Schizosaccharomyces pombe: one gene and its partner. The protein of the gene in region 2 interacts with the protein of the main gene of each other region in a pairwise test. Each region holds a gene or a part of one and is shown on either strand. Other genes may lie near its edges.

What was found. The genes of interacting proteins can lie anywhere in the genome.
Region 1: the proteins of cdc5 (region 2) and cwf7 interact in binary tests that used the Schizosaccharomyces pombe proteins (3 or more experiments, as listed by UniProt).

Annotation. Positions count from the first base shown.
Region 1 is NC_003423.3:1,576,644-1,582,303, reverse strand, and holds cwf7 (Prp19 complex subunit Cwf7), read left to right. Parts: upstream 1-4,234; 5' UTR 4,235-4,294; coding exon 4,295-4,328; intron 4,329-4,367; coding exon 4,368-4,897; downstream 4,898-5,660. Other genes in the region: hrd3 (HRD ubiquitin ligase complex subunit), read left to right, coding at 1-201; DNA recombination mediator Sfr1, read right to left, coding at 717-1,616; ERMES complex subunit, membrane tether and lipid transfer protein Mdm12, read left to right, coding at 2,356-3,177; SPOM_SPBC28F2.05C (xylose and arabinose reductase), read left to right, coding at 3,299-4,129; ppi1 (cyclophilin family peptidyl-prolyl cis-trans isomerase Cyp2), read right to left, coding at 5,487-5,660. UniProt on the Schizosaccharomyces pombe protein: Involved in mRNA splicing.
Region 2 is NC_003424.3:2,692,138-2,697,930, reverse strand, and holds cdc5 (splicing factor Cdc5), read right to left. Parts: upstream 3,233-5,793; 5' UTR 3,174-3,232; coding exon 3,155-3,173; exon of another isoform or gene 3,115-3,154; coding exon 3,095-3,114; exon of another isoform or gene 3,038-3,094; intron 3,029-3,037; coding exon 3,014-3,028; exon of another isoform or gene 2,950-3,013; coding exon 2,830-2,949; exon of another isoform or gene 2,761-2,829; coding exon 2,312-2,760; exon of another isoform or gene 2,248-2,311; coding exon 597-2,247; 3' UTR 514-596; downstream 1-513. Other genes in the region: SPOM_SPAC644.13C (Rab GTPase-binding protein), read left to right, coding at 1-513; [pyruvate dehydrogenase (acetyl-transferring)] kinase Pkp1, read left to right, coding at 4,402-4,495, 4,579-4,745, 4,825-5,697, 5,757-5,793. UniProt on the Schizosaccharomyces pombe protein: Involved in mRNA splicing and cell cycle control.

The DNA.
Region 1 (5,660 bases), on a different chromosome or scaffold from region 2:
CCCTCGCCTAATACTGAAGAGATGGGTGAATCCTATAATGATATTCGTTTCACTTATGATTACATTGATGGAAGGTTTTTGGAGACTGCGTGTGTCACGCTTATTGTGGTAGTTGTCGGACTGGTTTTAATGAGACGCCATCAACAGCATCGACTTCAAGAACGACGTGAGCGAATCATCCGTAGACAAAACCGCGCTTAATAAAAATTGTATCTTCGATTTTTTTGCGTTCTAATTTAAAATTTTGTTGCTCGATGGATGCAGAATAAAAAATATATGTATGTTAGGGTTCGTCGGTGATTAAATCATGCTTTGAATAAATTTTGTTTTTCATCTTTCAATTGGTTGATCTATATTTGTTGTCTGTCAGCCAATTAATCGACTTTTGTTGTTTGAATGTTAAATATCTCCAGAAAAAATTTAGAACCAGAAGGTTCAAAATCAAGAAATTTCAAATTAATGAGACATGTTATTGTATAATGCTAATAATTATATAAATTAAAGTCATAAACTCAGCCTGGAACGATTCATTGTTACATGTAAAGAATTTCGATACCAGCTCGGCGCAATTTGTATGTAAACGATTAAGGTACCTCTGTACGTTCAATTAGTATACCCTTGATTTTGGTGTAAGCTAGCTAAACATATTTAAGTTCGTACTAAAGGTTTTCTAACTAGTACGAACGAAAATTTTTTTAACAATAGTAAGGAGTCCTTTACGATTTCCAATCACCATTTTCTTCATCAAAAGACATCAAATGAACAGGAACACCAAACTGATTTAGAAACATACTCATTGTAAATTCAGTTCGTACTTCCTGAATTTGCCCTTTATTTTCACCTTCTTCAATACGAAAGGACTGAGTAACACCTCCAGCCAAACGAATACGTTCAGCCATTGGTTTAAAAAGTACTTCAGCGGCTTGCTGAGCAGCATTTTTCCATTTCTGTATCAACGTTTGCAAGTCTTTATCTTCATTTTTGGCTTCAACCTTTCGTGCAGTTTCGGCGGTTATGAGCTGCTCTTGTAAATTTCTGACTTCTTTTTCAAGTTTTAAACGACGAGAAAGCAACTGTGTGATTTCAGGGTCGGACTTTGGATTAAGGCAATTAGAGATAGGTGACTTGAAAAGTCGTTTTTGCCGTTTTATTGAATTAGGCGTTGTTCTTAAGGGAGAAGTAACAGGTTCTGAAGAAGTGTTTGTTTCATCAGAGTTAAGATTTGTTACAGCTAACGATGGTTTTAGATTAGTGTCTGCAACTTGAGGACTGGCAGTTTGTCTTAAGGGGCTTTTGAACGGCTTAAGAAGTATATTTTTGGCTTCTCGAGCCCTTTTCTTTGAAAAAGGTGTAGTAATTGGTAAAGAAGTATGTATTTTTGTATCTCGCAGGTCCGGCGTCAAAGCCTTCTCATTCTCTGGATGTACTGTTTCTGACTGCTCGATAAAACCTAGGTTATCTGAGTGATTGCCACTGTTATTGCATTTAGGAGGGTTTTCTATTCCTAACTGACCCTGTGAGTCACGTAAATCACTTTCGCTTAGGGAAACTTTCAAATCTTCTTTACACTGTGAAGTAGCATTTTCATTGAGTTCAGAGTTAATTGTTTGCGACATTTTCAGTTAAATCGTTTTAAAGTACTAATTCGAAGATGAAAGAGTGAATGTTAAATTATAACAAAGATGCAATGAAGCGCGTAACTTTTGTCAACAAACGCGTTGAGTGTAATAGTTGAATGTTTAAACTCTAACTTCAAATAATTAAATGAATTGAATATTAATTGTTATAGAAATGAAGAAATACCACAAATTCCAGATAAACGTTGAAAACGTTTTACTAGCAGAAGGTGAAAATAACAGCAAGCAACAAGAACTTAGGTAGAAGAAGACTGAAGCACATGACTGGTGGTTCCAAAAAATTAAATGTTTATACAAATTACGATAGTAATAAACTAAAAGGTTTATTAATTTACAAATTTGTTTTTTAACCTTTTTTAAACCGCGTAGGCTTTGTTAGAAGGTAATCTGGGAATACCACCTAACTCTACTGACAATACTAGGAGAAAAGATTTTGGTACCTACAGAAGGTAATATTTAAGATAAATAGATATCTTAAAAATTCACTTGCAATTCTCGATGAGTAAAAAAGAACATTGAAGGAAAGGACATTAAAATTGCTGGAGGATTTTGTTTAAAGTATCAAATTCATGCCGTCTTCGTATAAAATTTAGAGAACCGGTTTAAATATTATTTCATTAACCAAGTTGACGAAGAAATTACTTAAATTTTGAAAACTTGCTACAATCGTCATTGAGAGATTCAAGAGTTCGTATTTTTTTTTTACAATTGCAGAACAATGTCTATTGACTTTGATTGGTCAAAGTTAGACTCAGAATTAGAAGCAAAAGTTTTACATCTTCTCGAAGGACAAGTTTCGAATTTGTCGCTACCATCTTATATAAAGCATTTAAAGGTTGTTGACTTCCATTTCGGCAAAGTCTCACCTCAGATTACTATTCAAGAAATCGGCGATCCTGATCCCCAATTTTATGAAAATGAAGCTTTCGAATTAGCTAACCAAGAACTAGAGGGTGATCAATGCTCCCGCAATAATGTTTCACCAGTGCTTACGGATCTTCCACCTTACGCTGCTGAACATCCATTTTCAAGACTAGCATATTTTAATCCCGCATTTAATTCACCCGGGATTCTATCTGCAAGTGGACTCACAAGCCCAATTCCTGAAAGTCGCCCAAGTACTCCAATGGATAATCATCAAGAAAGAGATCGTTCTAACGATTTCCAAGTTACTGCACACGTATCTTATGACGGAGACGCAAATCTAAGCCTGGAAGCGGTTCTATCGATGAATTACCCGAACTCTGAATTTGCAGTTCTTCCATTCAAACTTTCATTTATTAGGATTTCCATCGATGCCATTGCTGTTTTGGCTAAAATGGGAAAGCGGACGCATCTATGCTTCGTTGATACATTGCTGCACGGAACTGGAGAGCATGCATCAAGTGTTATTCGAGATTTAACAGTGGAAAGTATTATTGGAGAATCTAATAAACAGCTGCTAAAAAATGTTGCTAAAGTCGAGAAATTTGTATCGGAAAAAGTTAAACGTATTATTGAGGATGAACTTGTCTGGCCTAGCTATATAACCATTGAATAATTCTTTACAATTATCCTAAATATATAAAAAATTTCCTTTAATCTCCTACTTAAAGGTTTAGGGATTTAGAAAATATTTTTGTCTATACATTGAGCTCTCTCATCTACCTCAACTTACGTTAATGAAACCATTTTCTCCTTCTCAAACCAATTTTGAAAAGGAACAACTTTGCTTTGGTGTATATCAACTTAAGGATTGCTACCAGCAAGTAATTGAGGCACTCTCGCTTGGTATTCGCGTAATTGATTCAGCAATTACATATCGAAATGAAAAAGAATGTGAACAAGCCATTCAAGATTTCTGCCATCAAAATGTGAATATTAAACGTGAAGATATCACCTTAATAACTAAGATTCCTGACTCCTTACAAGGATTTGAACGTACCTGGAAAGCGGTCGAACAGTCTCTTCGCAGAACAGGTCGTCCAAAGTTAGACGTCGTGCTAATACATTCACCAAAGTGGCCCGTACGCCGTATTGAGTCTTGGCGAGCACTATTGCAGCATCAAAAAGAAGGAAGGATAAACAAAATTGGAGTTTCCAACTATAATATTCATCATTTGGAAGAAATTATCAGTCTTGGGTTGCCCCTTCCAGCTATTAATCAGGTCGAATTTTCTGCATTCAATAACAGGCCTACTTTTCTTTCTTACTGTTTTAATCACGGTATTTTAGTACAGGCTTTTTCACCGCTAACAAGAGGATATCGTCTTAGTGATATTCGACTCTTAGATTTATCCTTAAAGTACAATAAAACACCGGCGAATATTCTTCTTCGTTATTGCCTTCAGAAAGGGGTTTCACCAATATTCAAAGCTTCGTCGTTTGTTCATATCCATGAGAACGTGAAGGCTGAGCAATTCATGCTTGACCCATCAGATATGGATGTCATGGATACTTGGGATGAAGAATTCGTGAGTAAACCTACTTGGAATCCTATTATACTTCCTTGAAACATTATAAAAATGATTTTTTGTTAAACTTATATCTCATTGTATGTAGCTTATCATAAATTATGTCTTTGTAAAATATGTGGTATCTCCAAAGTGCTGAGCACTAACCAAATACCAACCACGAACGTCTAATGGAGAGGGCGGATTTTTTCTGGATTGCATAAAATGAGTTATAATATATCTTTGGATTCATTACCTTGTAAGTTTTTTTTTTATGTCTTCTAATCAAATTATTTAGACTTTGAATCTACTTATAACGAAGAAGATAGATCAGCAGCTGCTCAAATTGTTGAGGAGGAGCTAAAGAGATCTGGAGGTTTACTAATTAAACAAGAGGAACAGAAAAAGAAATTTCAATCCCATCGTTTATCAGATCGACTGGAAAATGCCATTGTTGCGGCTGGAAAGGGAGAAAAACTTGCAGCCATCGACGTTCAACGCTACATACAGCTAAAACCACCGGGAACCCGTGAAAGCCTGTTGCAGTCCGCTGTTGTATGGGAATATCAAAAATCTCGCAATGATAACCTTTATTTGCTAGAAAAGCATGGAGAAAAAGCATTTGATAGTTCGTTGGAGGCTTTAGAAGTTCAGCTAGAATTATTAGAAAAAGAGTTAGTAAACACCAAAAAACTTTCGCAAGGATGTAATCGTAAAAGGAAGCATTATCAAATGGAAGTGGGTGCCCGACTTGCTGAAGCTGAAGTAAAGTTTGGACAATTGCTGCAGAGCAGCATTCAGTGCCGTGTTGCTACTCTCTTGTCATAATATCAATTTGATTGAACGTAAATATTATCCCTAATGAATATCATAATCAGAGTTACATTCTTGCGTTAAGGTAATTCGATATAATCCAGGGTGACTAACTTAAGCTTCCTTAGCACTATGGACTTCTATGTAAATAATTAAACATGCCTCACATCAAAAAGACTCCCGGTTTTCGTTTAAGGTTAGGATTACTTTTGATAAGAGTATCCTAGTAAACAGTTAAATGTTAATACAATTACTACTATGCGCGTTATTATGGGCCAACCAAGTCGTCGATTTTTTAACTAAGTTACTTTTTGTCTAACCTCAGTAATACGTACTTTCTTGATTATATGCTATGGATCGTGATCAATAGCTATAAACACTTCGTCGCAGCTTCCTTGTTACTGAAATCTTATTATTACTTATACGTTTAACAGCTGAATGATTTCTCTTAATTTAAAGTTTTTCTCTTTACATTTTCGAATACTTTACAAAAATTTATCGCAAACTTTATAGGAAAAATTGTCGTTAGATGAACTATGACTATCTAGGAACCAATAGTTCTTTTTCATAAATGCATCAACGAGTAAGTTAAAAAAGCACAAGCTTAGACGGTACCACACTTGTCAATGACAATGCGAGCACGAGTAGCACCAGAGTTAGAACCCAAGCTTTCAACCTTCTTGACAACATCCATACCCTCAGTGACCTCACCGAAAACGACATGCTTGCCATCTAACCAGGGAGTGACAACGGTGGTAATGAAAAATTGAGAACCGTT
Region 2 (5,793 bases):
TCTCTGGACGAACCCATTCGTGTTACATTATTTAATGAATTTAGAGCTATTGGTGAAAAACTCGTCTATGTTTTGTATCCCAAAAATGCTCAAGTACTACGCGACTGGGACTTGTGGGGTCCTTTGATTTTTTCCCTCGTAATTGCTTTAGCACTTGCCTTGTCTACTGACAAGATTGAACGAGAATCTGTTTTTACAGTCGTTGTCGCGCTCATATGGTTTGGGGAAGCGGTTTGTTCTTTAAATATAAAATTACTAGGGGCCAACATTAGCATTTTTCAATCTATGTGTATATTGGGGTACTCCTCTTTCCCTTTAATGATTGCTTCTATAGTTTGTGCATTCGTTCCCTTAATATTTATACGCATACCTGTGATTGTTGCAATGTATGCCTGGACATTGTTCGCTGCTATGGGTGTTTTACAAAATTCTAATCTATCCAACAAAAAATTGTTGGCAGTATACCCTTTATTCCTTTTCTACTTTTCTCTAGCTTGGATTATCTTTTTATAAAACTTTCGTTTTATTTCAGGCATGATAATATACACTATGAATGATAAGCTATGACAATTATTTAAAACAAAGTGAAGTGAAGTTTAATTTTGTCCAGTAACCCTAGCATAATCTTGTTGAGCATACGCCTCGATTTGTTGCATTTTGCTTAGCTCTATTTCAGCTGCTTCAAGCCTATTAGGTAGAGCTAATCGCTCCTGATTGTATAGAAATTCGTAGCACGTTAAATTTTTCCTTTCTGTTTGCAAAGCCTTCCAAGCATGCGAGATTTTCTTTATCAAAAAATTACGTTGCTCATATGAAGATCTAACCAAATCATAAACCCGATTTTCCAACTTGTTACATTCCAATGCTTTCTTAGCTAAATCTCGTTGAATGTCGTTCGTATAAAACTTTTCAGCGGCTTCAACGTCTTCATCGTCTTCCTCGTAGATTACCAAGCCTGGCAACAAACTTGAGGTGTTGTGAAGTGCACTGTACGTTTCCAAAAATTCCTTCTCGAATTGGATATAATCGTCACTTTCTAGTTGCCCTATCTCTTTCTTTAGTAACAATCTACACCTCTCAATTTCTTCATTTGACAAATCAGGCACTTTGTTAGCCGTTCCTTTCACTTTTGAATTTCCAAACGGATAATTAATGGCGTCCGATGAAATCAAAGCAATCATTTCTTTCAATAAAACATTTGCAGTCGGATCTTCATTTTCAAGTGAACGCTTCCATTTTTCTGGTTGTGTTACAGATGGTCGAATCAAATCTCTTTGAATAACCTGTGACCTCCTCGCTTTTGCCAACCTTTCTTTTTCTGCAATACGTTCTTGGATACGACGTTCTCGGTCTGTTGCGTCTTCTTCAAGCACTCCAACAGTAGCTTCAACATCAGTTTCGTCCGCAAATCGAGGCTCCATTAGTTCATAGTCGTTTTTAGGTTTAGGTAGTTTTGCAAGCAATTCTCGCAAAGCCTTCAATCGAATTTTATTTTCTCTTTCACTTGCTAATCGTCCTGCTCGCTCCGCAGCTGCATTAATAGAAAATGTGTCACGTGGTGTTCTAAAAGGAGTTGCTTGAGGTGCTGCCAAAGCTGAGCCATTAGCTGCATGACTGGGAGTAACTCCTGTGTAACCAGTACCACCAGGTTGTAAAGGTATACTTTCCTGACCCAAGAGAGAAGATTGTTCGCGGTTCCTCATCAATTGATTTCTAACTTCAATTGTAACTGAATCCTCTCTTCCCTCAAGTTCACCACTAATTGGTGTTCTCAATGGAGTAGCTCGTTCAATTTGTGTATACTTTCCTAACAAATTAGTACTGTAATTAGCATCTGGAGTCGTATCAGTCATAGCGCGAGCACGATCGCCTGCAAAGCCTAGTTTCACTACTTTATCCAGTTCATCTTGAGACACAGTAGGACTAGGTAAATTCAACTTCCGCCTCTTGCTCATCTGCTCAGCCTCGGCAAGACGTCGCATTTTTTCTTCTTGGGCATCTTTGTTGGGCTTTTTTACTCTATCAATAGGTTTTGGCTTTTCAAAATGACCAAATTTTCGACCTTCGGATTCCATTTCATTATTCCGTATTCCATTTTCAATTATCTTCTGGTCCGCTTCTCGCTTTTCCCGAAAATTTTGCCTGTCCTCTTCTGAGGTATCATAAAAACCAATCGCTGGCTTTTTTTCAAATGGAATAGAAGCGTTATAATCCATTTCATTCTTCTTTCGACGGAAGAGCTTTATACTAAGTTATAGATTAACATAATGAAGGAAAAACAATACAATAAAGTAATAATAATAACACATACTTGATTCCAGCTGCCTTCAATTCTCTTCGCTTTTGGAGATGTGACAATCTTCTAGTTAATTCAAGCTGCTTTTCTCTATCCTTTCGTTTGGCTTTCTTTCCTTGTGTGTTTGCTAAACGTGCACGTGCTTCACTCAACATCTCTTTTTCGTCTTCATCCATGTCAATGGCATCAGGGAGTGCAGGTAGGGTTTCTAAATTGGGCTCTGCTTCGCCAAAACGAAGCCGGGAATTTGGATCGTTAACAGGCGCAGCTGCTTCTGCACCTTCTCCACTGATCAATCCCAACTGCTCGTTCTCTTTCGCTTCCAAATCATCAAGAAGTTTTTGATAGCGTTCTAAACATTGAGTGGCCGTCCGACCTACAATTGGAGCAATCGTCCGCCACTGTGTAGGAAGTAACTTAGCTAAGTGTAATAATTTTTCGTCCTCTTCACGACTCCATTCAGTCTAAATGTGAAGGAAATGTTAACAATAGGTCTTGTCAAATAACAAATAGTGATTACATGTTTAACATACCTTTTTAATGCTTGGATCGATCCATTCATACCAACGAGCTTTACATTGTTTAGGAGTTTTGCGAACCAGCAATGAACTTATGCGGGCCCATTGGTTTTTACCGTATTTACTGACAGCAGCCTAGGAATTTGCGTTAGTATTCTAAATATTAAAGGAAATATGTAACTAATAAATAAAAAAATACCTTTAAGATTTCATCCTGTTTACCAATAAGTTAGTAACAAAAACATTGCGCGTGGTAGAAGGTTAAAATCATAGTCTTTACCTCTGTATTTTTCCAGGCACCTAAATTATGTTAGAAAATACAATAAAAAAAGTTACAAACCTCCTTTTAAAACAACCATTTTCTAAATATTCGCCAAAACCCTGACAATTGTCAGAAAGCGTGGTAATGGAGGTTTGTAGTAACTGTAACAACTTGCGACGAAACAGGGTGGATGGGAAATTGAGGTAAATGTCGAGTGCAGCAGAAAGTGACCAAAATTATATTTTATATTTAAAGTAGTTTTAACTTTTAAAAGAACAGTTTCTTAAACACACTAATAGTCAAACCAAATATTCATTTTATTGTTTTTTCCAGTTTGCTACGTATCACATATTTACCTTAAATTATTTCAATGTAGCACATGTTTCTTTATCGCAAAAATATAATAGCGCAAAATCGTTGGACAACATTAAATTTTTTTGAATATTCCTAACCGTTGAGTATTAAGAAAATATTTGACAAGCAGGATATAGCAATGATCAAATATGTTTATCTTGAAGGTGGATCTACCATACTCTTCCTCTTATTTATGGTTGGTATATCAACAAGTAACTACAAGCATTGCAGTATTATGTGTATCGTTAAGTAACCTAATGACCGCGTATTTGTCAGCAATACTACACTACGTTACATATCACTATATGTCATATGTTGGAATACTAATTAAGATCCGTCTATTGATCATCACGGGTAACTATCCGTCTATATACATAGATACCCGTTGATAGCAACTATTTAGAAATATTATAAATAGAGTTTTAACTGAACTGAGGAACGAGGTTCAGTTATAAGCTATATTAGTGATAGGTAACATTTTATAACCTAGTTAATACAATACCTATACTCAGTTGCTACTCATACGACCTGTGTATTGTAATATAATAGACCACAAGGAAAACTCACCGCAGTTCTACGTATCCTTAAATTAGATAACAAACTGTGTAGCTAGCAGTATTGTGAAAAATAAAATAAGCAATGCAAAAGAAGTATAATGTATCACGCATTTCAATTTTAATGGAATACACTCAAGTTCATTATTTTTATGGGTACTTTGCAAACATATGAATGCATTAGTTTAGCAAAAGCTTTCTTAGATTCTGTGTGAAAACATTAAGAAACTGCTTTATTTGTTTGTTTCTGAAGCTCATCTTTTACTTTCTTTAGGTTATATTTTGCAAATTGCCGCTTTTTTTATGCTCGTCCATGGGTTATCATCTATTTGTTAGACAAACCAACAAAGTTTACGATTGAACAATTGTTCTATTTATCATTATCGAATTTAAAGAAAAACTTAAGGTTTAAAAGAAATGTCAGTGCTCGGGAAAACTTTACAGGAGAAAGTCAATCTCTTGGCTCAATATCCTCAAACAGGGTTGTCTTTAAAGCAATTAGTGTATTTTGGTAAGAATTTTTGCTCAGTTAATTTTTCTTAGATTACTTCATACTAGAAATTTTATACTGACTGCTTAATTTTTATTATGAAGGCAAGAACCCTACACCAGGAACACTTTTCCGGGCTGGCTTGTTTTTGCGAGATGAATTGCCCATTCGCTTGGCTCGGCGCATCCAAGACCTGCAGAATCTTTCACCGATGCTACGAAGTATGAAGCGTATATCTTCCGTAAAGGCTGCTTACGGTAGATCTATGGAGGTAGGTCAAATGTGTATATTTGCATGTTCGATACTTGTCGAAACATAACCAGAAATCAAACAAAGCTAACTGGTTGAAGGAAATTATTGAACTGAAAGGAGTGGAACTACCGAAATGTCTTCCAAAGCACGCTCGATATCACAATGCCCCGAAATGGAGGTCAAGTTTAATGGACTCTGAAATTCTTCATAATCCCTCGCTTGCAAATACTCATTTAGACTCTTCAAAAGGTCGCTATTTTGAAACAGATTTTTCTGACCAAGATAATGGCGTTGATTGTAATTGGCCCGAATCTTTGTTAAAATTTAATAGTAATTTTGCATACCTTTTAAATACCATTCGAACTAGACACGATAACGTTGCAGTCGAAATTGCTTTGGACATACAAGAATACCGAAGGAAGACTAACCAAATTGACAACAGTATTCAAATATTTTTGGATAGGTTTTACATGTCTCGTATTGGAATTCGAATGCTGTTAGGTCAATATATAGCACTTGTCTCTGAACCGCCGCGTGAGAATTACGTTGGTGTGATAAGTACACGTGCAAATATTTATCAAATAATAGAAGGTGCTGCTGAAAATGCCAAGTACATTTGCAGGCTTGCGTACGGATTGTTTGAAGCACCTGAGATTCAAATTATTTGCGATCCTTCACTTGAAATGATGTATGTAGAGTCCCATTTAAATCACGCAGTCTTTGAAATTCTCAAAAACAGTCTTCGTGCAACCGTAGAATTTCATGGTGTAGACAGTGATTTCTTTCCTCCCATAAAGGTCATTGTTGCAAAAGGACAAGAGGATATAACCATCAAAATCTCTGATGAAGGAGGCGGTATATCCCGTCGAAATATCCCTTTAGTTTGGTCATACATGTTTACAACTGCCTCTCCTACATTGACAGATGATCCTCACGATATCGTTAGCGCAAATTCTACTACTCCTATGGCTGTAAGTGAAACATTTTATTATTGATCGTTGAAATATATAATACTAACAAACATGCATAGGGCTTCGGGTTTGGTCTTCCTCTCGCTCGACTTTATA